2 linked regions of the Oryzias latipes genome follow. The protein of the gene in region 2 binds, or shares a complex with, the protein of the main gene of each other region. Links are inferred from orthologs where the notes say so. Each region holds a gene or a part of one and is shown on either strand. Other genes may lie near its edges.

Evidence for each region. Proteins that work in one complex are often made in the same cells at the same time.
Region 1: the proteins of tln1 (region 2) and apbb1ip are in contact, whole or in part, in a crystal structure (PDB 4W8P), measured with the Mus musculus proteins. The link is inferred for Oryzias latipes from reciprocal best matches to the Homo sapiens genes TLN1 and APBB1IP. Residues at the interface, in NP_035732.2 of Mus musculus: Leu1492, Ala1495, Thr1496, Val1498, Ala1499, Thr1502, Ser1503, Cys1506, Asn1507, Arg1510, Val1526, Ala1529, Lys1530, Ala1533, Asn1534, Thr1536, Ala1537, Val1540, Ile1543, Lys1544, Asp1547; in NP_062329.2 of Mus musculus: Asn5, Ile8, Asp9, Met11, Phe12, Thr14, Leu15, Glu18, Met19, Leu21, Leu22, Ser25.

What each region holds. Positions count from the first base shown.
Region 1 is NC_019878.2:23,076,822-23,080,390, reverse strand, and holds part of apbb1ip (amyloid beta A4 precursor protein-binding family B member 1-interacting protein), read left to right. Parts: intron 1-1,294; coding exon 1,295-1,354; intron 1,355-1,740; coding exon 1,741-1,828; intron 1,829-3,075; coding exon 3,076-3,353; intron 3,354-3,569. UniProt on the Homo sapiens protein: Appears to function in the signal transduction from Ras activation to actin cytoskeletal remodeling. Suppresses insulin-induced promoter activities through AP1 and SRE. Mediates Rap1-induced adhesion.
Region 2 is NC_019870.2:24,789,638-24,793,951, forward strand, and holds the start of tln1 (talin-1), read left to right. Parts: upstream 1-1,495; 5' UTR 1,496-1,703; intron 1,704-4,314. UniProt on the Homo sapiens protein: High molecular weight cytoskeletal protein concentrated at regions of cell-matrix and cell-cell contacts. Involved in connections of major cytoskeletal structures to the plasma membrane.

The sequences.
Region 1 (3,569 bases), on a different chromosome or scaffold from region 2:
AATATCACGGTCGTAGACCGCTCACTGAACCCTTAGGGAGAAAATGTTCATGTACATTTTTTCTACGGGCAGGCTGTGGGCGACAGAACCCAAACTGCATCCACTGCTACTGAAACTGGTAATAGGCAGGAAGTGCTGCTCTTCACAGCTGAGAACACTCTTCTGATGCAAGGCAGCAATTCCAAGATGTTGCAATATTTTTTTCAAGCAGCACAGCAGAGACTCTTATGAATTTCACCTTTTTTTAACCGAATCATTGGCAACACTGACTGCCTCCTTCTCCTGCTGTTCATCCAATCACAGAGTCATCCATCGGAGGTTCTGAACGTCTGCCTGAAACACGTAAAATCTAGACAAAGTAAAATTGTAATTCAGAAACCGTATTTTAAACCCATGTAAGACATTCATCTCAAAACCCACAGCTTTTTTTTTTTTTGCAAAAACACAGCACAGAATAATGACAGGAAGCGCCAAAAAACGCAGCATCAAATGTTTGTTAGTGTTTGTGCAGAAGCTGTTTTAACTCCAAATGGCTCCAAAAGCAAAGAGTTCTCTGCTTTAATCTGAAATAAAAACAGCAAATGAAAGTTTCACATCAGCACAGCGGGGCAAGCTGTAACAGAGCGGGAATACCTGGAGGCGTGCATTCCTGCCTTCCTTCAGCCGGGGCGGGACTGTTCTGCAGGATTGTGTCACCTCAGGGAAACGTTTCTGCAGCGCAAAAAGGGGCGACGTTGCGTCTCACCACACAAAACATGCGAGTATTGTTTTATCATTCTTTTAACAGATATTTCCCGATCAATGATCAAAACTACAAGAATTTCTGCAGCAGCCACTGGAAATCATCTTCCTTCACTGCAGCGGGGTTTCCACTTAATCTTGAACCTGGCCTGTGAACCCTGTGACCCTTTGAATAGAAGTTTTCTCTTTATTTGAAGGATATTTCAGTGACCCACCCCCCCCCCCAAAAAAAAACACATTGTGATTGATCAGAAAGAAAAGGATGGAGGAAACAACAGAGATGTTTCTGCAACATTTGGAAACACACTTTTGTTCGTTCTGGTGTTTTGTTGTTGTAAATCGCTATAAAATGTCTTCAGTGGTCCTTCACGTTTTAAATTTCACAAGATCACGTTTACCTGCAGCAATTGAGGCCGACCTCTATGTGACTTTTGGGTCTATTCTGATGCTTAAATGAGCTTAAACCTCCTTCGTGCATTTCTATTGTTTTTGTGTGTTTTGAAATGAAGATTGCATGGAAGACAGTCTCAGTCTTTGTTGGTTCTTTCTCCAGATGGAGGACATTGACGCCATGTTCAGTGACCTCCTGGGAGAGATGGACCTCCTCACTCAGGTGAGTCTGCACATTATTCCAGGGGTTTCTTTAAAAAAACAAACATTTTTTACATTTTCTATCATGATTCCACCGTTTTGGAGCTGGTTTATGCTGCTTAGAAAGTTTGGTTTCTTTTGTTTTTGTGGAACTGATGAGAAAAGTTACCCCAATTATTAATTTAACTCTGAGCACATTTAGCCTTGTTCATAAAAAGTAGATGAAAAAAAAGCAAACATTGAACAAAAGCGGATGTTTGCTCTGATAAAGTTCCAAACTCTCACTTCACGTTTTGGGTTAGAGTTTCAGGCTGTCAGAGTATTTTATTGATCGCTCTCCCCTGAGGGTCGCCTGGAATCAAACCGAAACTCACACTTCTTTCTAACAAAGCCCCCTTTGCTCTGCAGAGCCTGGGTCAGGAAACGGGACCTGCGGCAGATCTCCCCAGCTCCACCAAGGAGGTCAACTTCTCCACCGACTATGCGGACTGGAATGGTGAGAGACGAGTGCTTTTGTTGAGCTTTTGCACAATCATTGGACTGTGCAATATCCTCAGTTTTGCAAGAGCAAAAAGCAGGAAACACATGTTTTCAAAAACCTTTCACGACATAGGAACAAGACAACAAACGGCTAAAAATACCTCGTGTTTACTCTGATTTGAGCAGTGTTCAGGCTCAAACAGCCTCAAATTGCTGCATGTGCACTTTATTTTTTTAACCAGGATACTTTACTTCCTGTTTATGTTGTATCTCACTAGGAAGCAAAAGTTGGAGACTAAGAATTAATTTGGAGGCGCACAAACGGTCCATTTCTGAATCAAACTTAAAAAGAACTTAATCTTATAAACAAAGTTGTTGTCCATTTAGGTCACCAGTTAGAAACCAGAGACTGTTTGTTTATTAAGTTGTTTTAAATGTTCAAAATTAAGGAAAAACAAAAGTGCGACTCAAACACTGACTTGAACAGCGTCTTGTTTATGGCCGTTTGGTTAAAACGTTTTCTTTGTGCAGAATTTACAAACTAAAAAAGTCAAATTACTTTATGATGAAAAACATGATCACACTAAAAAAAGTTTTCCCAGATTCAGTGAACGTAACTTCACTGACTATTTGTTTATGGATCCGGAAAATATGTATTGATTTTCATTGGAACAGACATAAATAATACAAAAAAAAAAAAAAAACAGATCATCAGTGCAAGAAAGCGTTAACAGGGCGACAGTGGCTCAGGTGGTTGAGCGGGTCGTCCAATGATCGAAGGGTTGGCGGTTCGATCCCCGCTCCCACCAGCCAAAATGTCGTTGTGTCCTTGGGCAAGACACTTCACCCTCCTTGCCTCCAGTGTGGCTCCACTGGTGTGTGGATGTGTATGAATGATCCCGGTGATGGTCAGAGGGGCCGTAGGCGCGAAATGGCAGCCACGCCTCTGTCAGTCTGCCCCAGGGCAGCTGTGGCTACAACCATAGCTACCATCACCAAGTATGAATGAGGAGTGAATGAATAATGGACACAATGTAAGCGCTTTGGGTGTCTTGAAAAGCGCAGATAAATCCAATCCATTATTATTATTATTATTATGTACAATAATACTGCACAAATTATTGCCCCGAATTATAAAATGAATTATTTAAATGACAAAATAGGTCACGATGATTGAATAATAATGTAAAAATATTGTTTTGAGTTACAGAAAATCCACAAACTCTAAACTGAAGGTAAAAACAGATCATTTTTCCTCATCAGCGTCCCTCAATGAGCTGGAGGACAAGGATCTGGACGACCTCATGTCTGACTTGATGGCCGACCTGAACGCCACCGAGGAGAAGCTGGCGGCGGAGATTCGGGGCCTGGAGGCGCCAACGCCGCCCCCGCCCGACCTGCCCCCTCCGCCCAATGGCCAGAGCGTTCAGGCTGCCGCCGCCTCTCCCTCGCCTGCATCGTTGGCGAGCGCCTTCCCGCCCCCCTCCTCCACCACCTCCCCCCCGCCGGCTCCCCCGTCTCATTCGGCAAAGCCGTCAAAGGTGAGTCAGTGGATGACCTTTTCACCTCCTCACGCCAGGAGTTCCAGTGAGGACTGACTGAAAGCCAGTGAGATCATCACAGGTCTGTCTGGACCGGTTCAGACAGTCATTAGGGGAGGGGGGAGCAGGACCAATAGACCTGCCAGGGGTTTGATGTGAAAGTGTTGGAGGGGGGGGGAATATTGCTTTAACAGAGTTCCTGACTTCATCCCTGTG
Region 2 (4,314 bases):
TGAAAAATAAATAATGGTCCAACTAAACGCAAACCAGATGGAATAGCATGCTGTGGTAGCCACGCTGGTTCAGTATGCCTTCAATTTGGAATAAATCCCCAACAGAGTCACCAGCAAAGCACCCCCACACCATCACACCTCTTCCTCCATGCTTCATGGTGGGAACCAGGCATGTAGAGTCCATCCGTTCATCTTTTCTGCGTCGCACAAAGACACGGTGGTTGGAACCAAAAAACTCACATTTGGACTCATCAGACCAAAGCACGGATTTCCACTGGTCTAATGTCCTTTCCTTGTGTTCTTTAGCCCAAACAAGTCTCTTCTGCTTGTTGCCTTTCTTTAGCAGTGATTTCCTAGCAGATATTCTACCATGAAGGCCTGATCCACACAGTCTCCTTGTAACAGTTGTAGAGATGTGTCTGCTGCTAGAACTCTGTGTGCCATCGAGCTGCTCTCTAATCTGAGCTGCTGTTAACCTGCCATTTCTGAGACTGCTGACTCGGATGAACTTATCCGCAGCAGCAGATGTGACTCTTGGTCTGCCTTTCCTGGGGCGGTCCGCATGTGAGCCAGTTTCTTTGTAGCGCTTGATGGTTTTTGTGAATGCACTTGGGGAGACTTTCAAAATTTTCCCAATTTTTCAGACTGACTGACCTTCATTTCTTAAAGTAATAATGGCCACTCGTTTTTTCTGTACTTAGCTGCTTTTTTCTTGCCATAATACAAATTACAACAGTCTATTCAGTAGGACTATCAGGTGTTTATCTATATGACTTCTGCACAACACAACTGATGGTCTCAACCCCATAAATAAGGCAAGAAATCCCACTTATTAAACCTGACAGGGCACACCTGTGAAGTGAAAAACATTTCAGGTGACTAACTACCTCTGGAAGCTCAAGAGAATGCCAAGAGTGTGCTAAGCAGTAAAAATCCCAGCAAAAGGTGGCTACTACGAAAAACCTAGAATATGACATATTTTTAGTTGTTTCACACTTTTTTGGAATGTATATAATTCCAGTTCCATAGTTTTGATGCCTTCAGTGTGAATCTACAATTTTCATAGTCATGAAAATAAAGAAAACTCTTTGAATGAGAAAGTGTGTCCAAACTTTTGGTCTGTACTGTACATGGATCTATTTGACTACAGTGGATGCATCAGAATGGAGCAGCGCAGGGAGCTAGTGGCTTGTCATTGTAAGTCCTACTGCATTGTGGTTGTCCATAATGATTTGATTAAAAAAAACTGTCAGTTTTCTTAATATATGTTTTCTATCAAGAAAAAAATGCTACAAGAACACGTTAAAGCACCCTATTTCTGCTGGAGGGGGTTTTAAAGGCCGCGTGTATTTGAGCGCGCGCGGTCCCGCTCTGTCCAAAGCAGCAGCGGTGGCATGACCTGAAGCTGTCCAGCTGCGGGCGGGTACCGCCGCGGTCTACACGCACACAGACCGGATCGCTGTGCTGCAGCTGGGCTCAGAGGGTGCTGCGCAAACTCCACCCTCGCGCCTCGTCAGGGTGGAGTTTGAGCAGCACCACAACTCCTAGCAGACAGGGAGGGGAGCGAAGGAAAAGCAGCGCTTGGCCTCTTCCGTCATTAAAAAACGGATTTTGTTCTGGAATTAAAAGTGGAGAAAAGTTCGACGAGGCGGGTCCCACTGCTGGAAGCGCCGCCGTCGACGGAATCGGATTCCCGCGCGCAGGTCAGACCTTCAGAGTTTTTATTTTACCAACTTCGAAAGTTTCGAGTTTGTGGCCAGGGGTCTGTGACGTCACCAGAACGATCAAAAGAACCTGAGCGAAGTGACGTGTTTACGGCTAACGGCTGCGCGCGAGGCACAGTTAAGATTACACGAAGAGGAAACGAGTTTGAAGTTACACGCGCCACATAGACATTGCCCCCCCCTCCCCTCACAACACAGACACACACACACACGCTAACACGCACGCACGCAGCTGAACCGCCGTGTCAGTGGGGCACACAGTGTGCCCCACTGAGTGTGTCCGCCGCTGCGCCCTGGAGGTTACACGAAAGCCCGTCGGGTCGCGCGGCTCGTGTTTCGGACAGGCTCCCATCAGGAGGCCCTGCGGGCCGCACCGCGCCGCTCCTGGGCGTGTTCCTCCGCGCTCTCAACCTGTAGCCTCCGGCTGCACATTCTTCCTGCACGCGGACGAGCCGCCGCGCGGCTTTGCTTTGTAGTCGTTCGTTGACATTCCCGTTTGGATGCGGCTGGAATCCCACTACTAACACCGCTGAGAGATCTGAGTGTGACGCGACTACTGTCTATTTCAGTTTGACGGAGCTGAAGAGGAATTCTTGCGAACACAAAAGAGAGATGGGGATGTAGATCAAAATAACCACCATTGAAAACATGCGACAAACACGAATAATTACATTCTTTTGTTTCACTTTAGATTTCGACTCTCATCTTTTCTTCATTGATGGACTGAAATAAAACGTTCAGTATTTCCTCAGGTGATTTACATTTTGAGGAAAAACAACTTTTGGAGGGTTTTTAAAAGTTCATAGGAAAAAAAGAATTCTTCAGGTTTGCACCTGAAGTATATCAAAACAAATGAATGTATGCACTTCAGTTAGTAATTTAGTCAAATCTGATGTAGATTCACATATAAAAATGTTCTAAAATATTCCTGGACATGAACAAGAACATGAGAGAAATATTATATATTATATTTTCACAAGGATATCAATTTTTTCACAGAATCACTTTGTTTTAGTCAATGTTTTTGGGGGCTACTGTTCGAGAAATCGGCATGAACTCCCTGCTCTTCATTCTAATGCATCCATGGATGCATGTACGTCTTGGTTTTCCTCCTCTGTAATCTGGTTCTAAAACTGTACGACTGGATCCATAGCTACAACCTTGCTTGTCATTTTTGTTGCGCCGGTAATGTTGGGTTGGGGATGTAATGGTGGGAGAGTGTGCAAGCAGAGAGCTCTCAGTTGTGGGTGACGGGTAGGGGGATCGGGGTTGCTCTGTGCCAGGGGTCCCACCTGGGGAAGTACTGATGAACGTCTGCTGCTCTGCAGAAACTATGTCCTAAAAATGTGGCTAAAAAACGGCATAATCATAATTAAAAGACCACTGGGAACACTTTACACTAGATTAAAAGATGATCGAGTGGGACTTTAACGTATAGAATAAATCAATGATGGGACCAAACAATGGTTTATAATGGCTTTTTTTTCTATGCACGCATCATTTCTGGGAACCTTTTGGTGTGAGCCGGAAAAGATCATTCTCAGGGTTTTAACTCCTCCTCCTCAAAGATCTTTAAATCTAAATATAATTTTAAAAAGAACGCTTCAGAAGATAAGAGGAAGTATAAATGTATGCTTAATCATTGAACTTTGTCTTAAAAAACAGTTCAGGGGTGTCTGGTGTTGTGTGACCAGATGCTCTCGTATTAATTATAACCTCCTGGGGAGAATGACTGACCACTAACCAGAGAAACATGACCTTTTGTCTTTATCTGATGTTGTTTGTGGAAAGGTGGCCCAGCAGTGTGGAAGGTCTCTTGGTCTCACTTTGGTGAAAAGATGTTTGCTGTTCAATTCTCTCCTGCAATTAAACACATTTCCCATGAAAAGTAGTCAGTCAGAAAATATTGGGGCAATACCTGCTGGTATAAAAAAAAAAAACTTTCTATAACAGGTCATTGTCTGTTTGCAGCTTAGACAAGTTGCACCTCTGGAGTGGAGCAGAGGCCGAGTGGGTCAGTTCAGACCAAGGCGAAAAAAAGACGCCTTACAGGCAGAAAGGAAACGGCGTGTTAAAAGGGCCTTATGTGATTCTAGTGGTGCAACGTTCATCCTAAGACTGGGAGGTCATAAGTTCAAATCTGTGGTGGCGTCATTCCGAAGACTAAAAATGGGACCCAGTGCATCCCTGCCCGACACTCAGCATTAAGGGGTTGGATTGAGGGGTTAAACCACCAAATGGTTCGATAGGGACCTGGCTGCTTATGGCGCCTAACAGCATTGGCTGGAACCGAAATCCCACCCCCAAAAAGAGTTCAGATTAAAAAAAAAACCTGTCAAGCTTCAAGTTTAAAATGGGGATTTTTTCCCCCCCTGAACAATATGGGGGGACTTCTGGTTTTGGTTGAGGACTTCCAGTTCTGGCTGTTGATGTCCGCAGACAAGTCTTGTATGGTTCCCTCCTCCCCAGAAGAGGGGTTTAATGTGGAAAACCAAATATGTGTGGAGCTAATGAGACTTTAGCAGAACTTTTAACCATTGGTCTGTTTTGAGCCGCTTTGACTAATATTTTTGGGCGAGTGGGCCCTCCT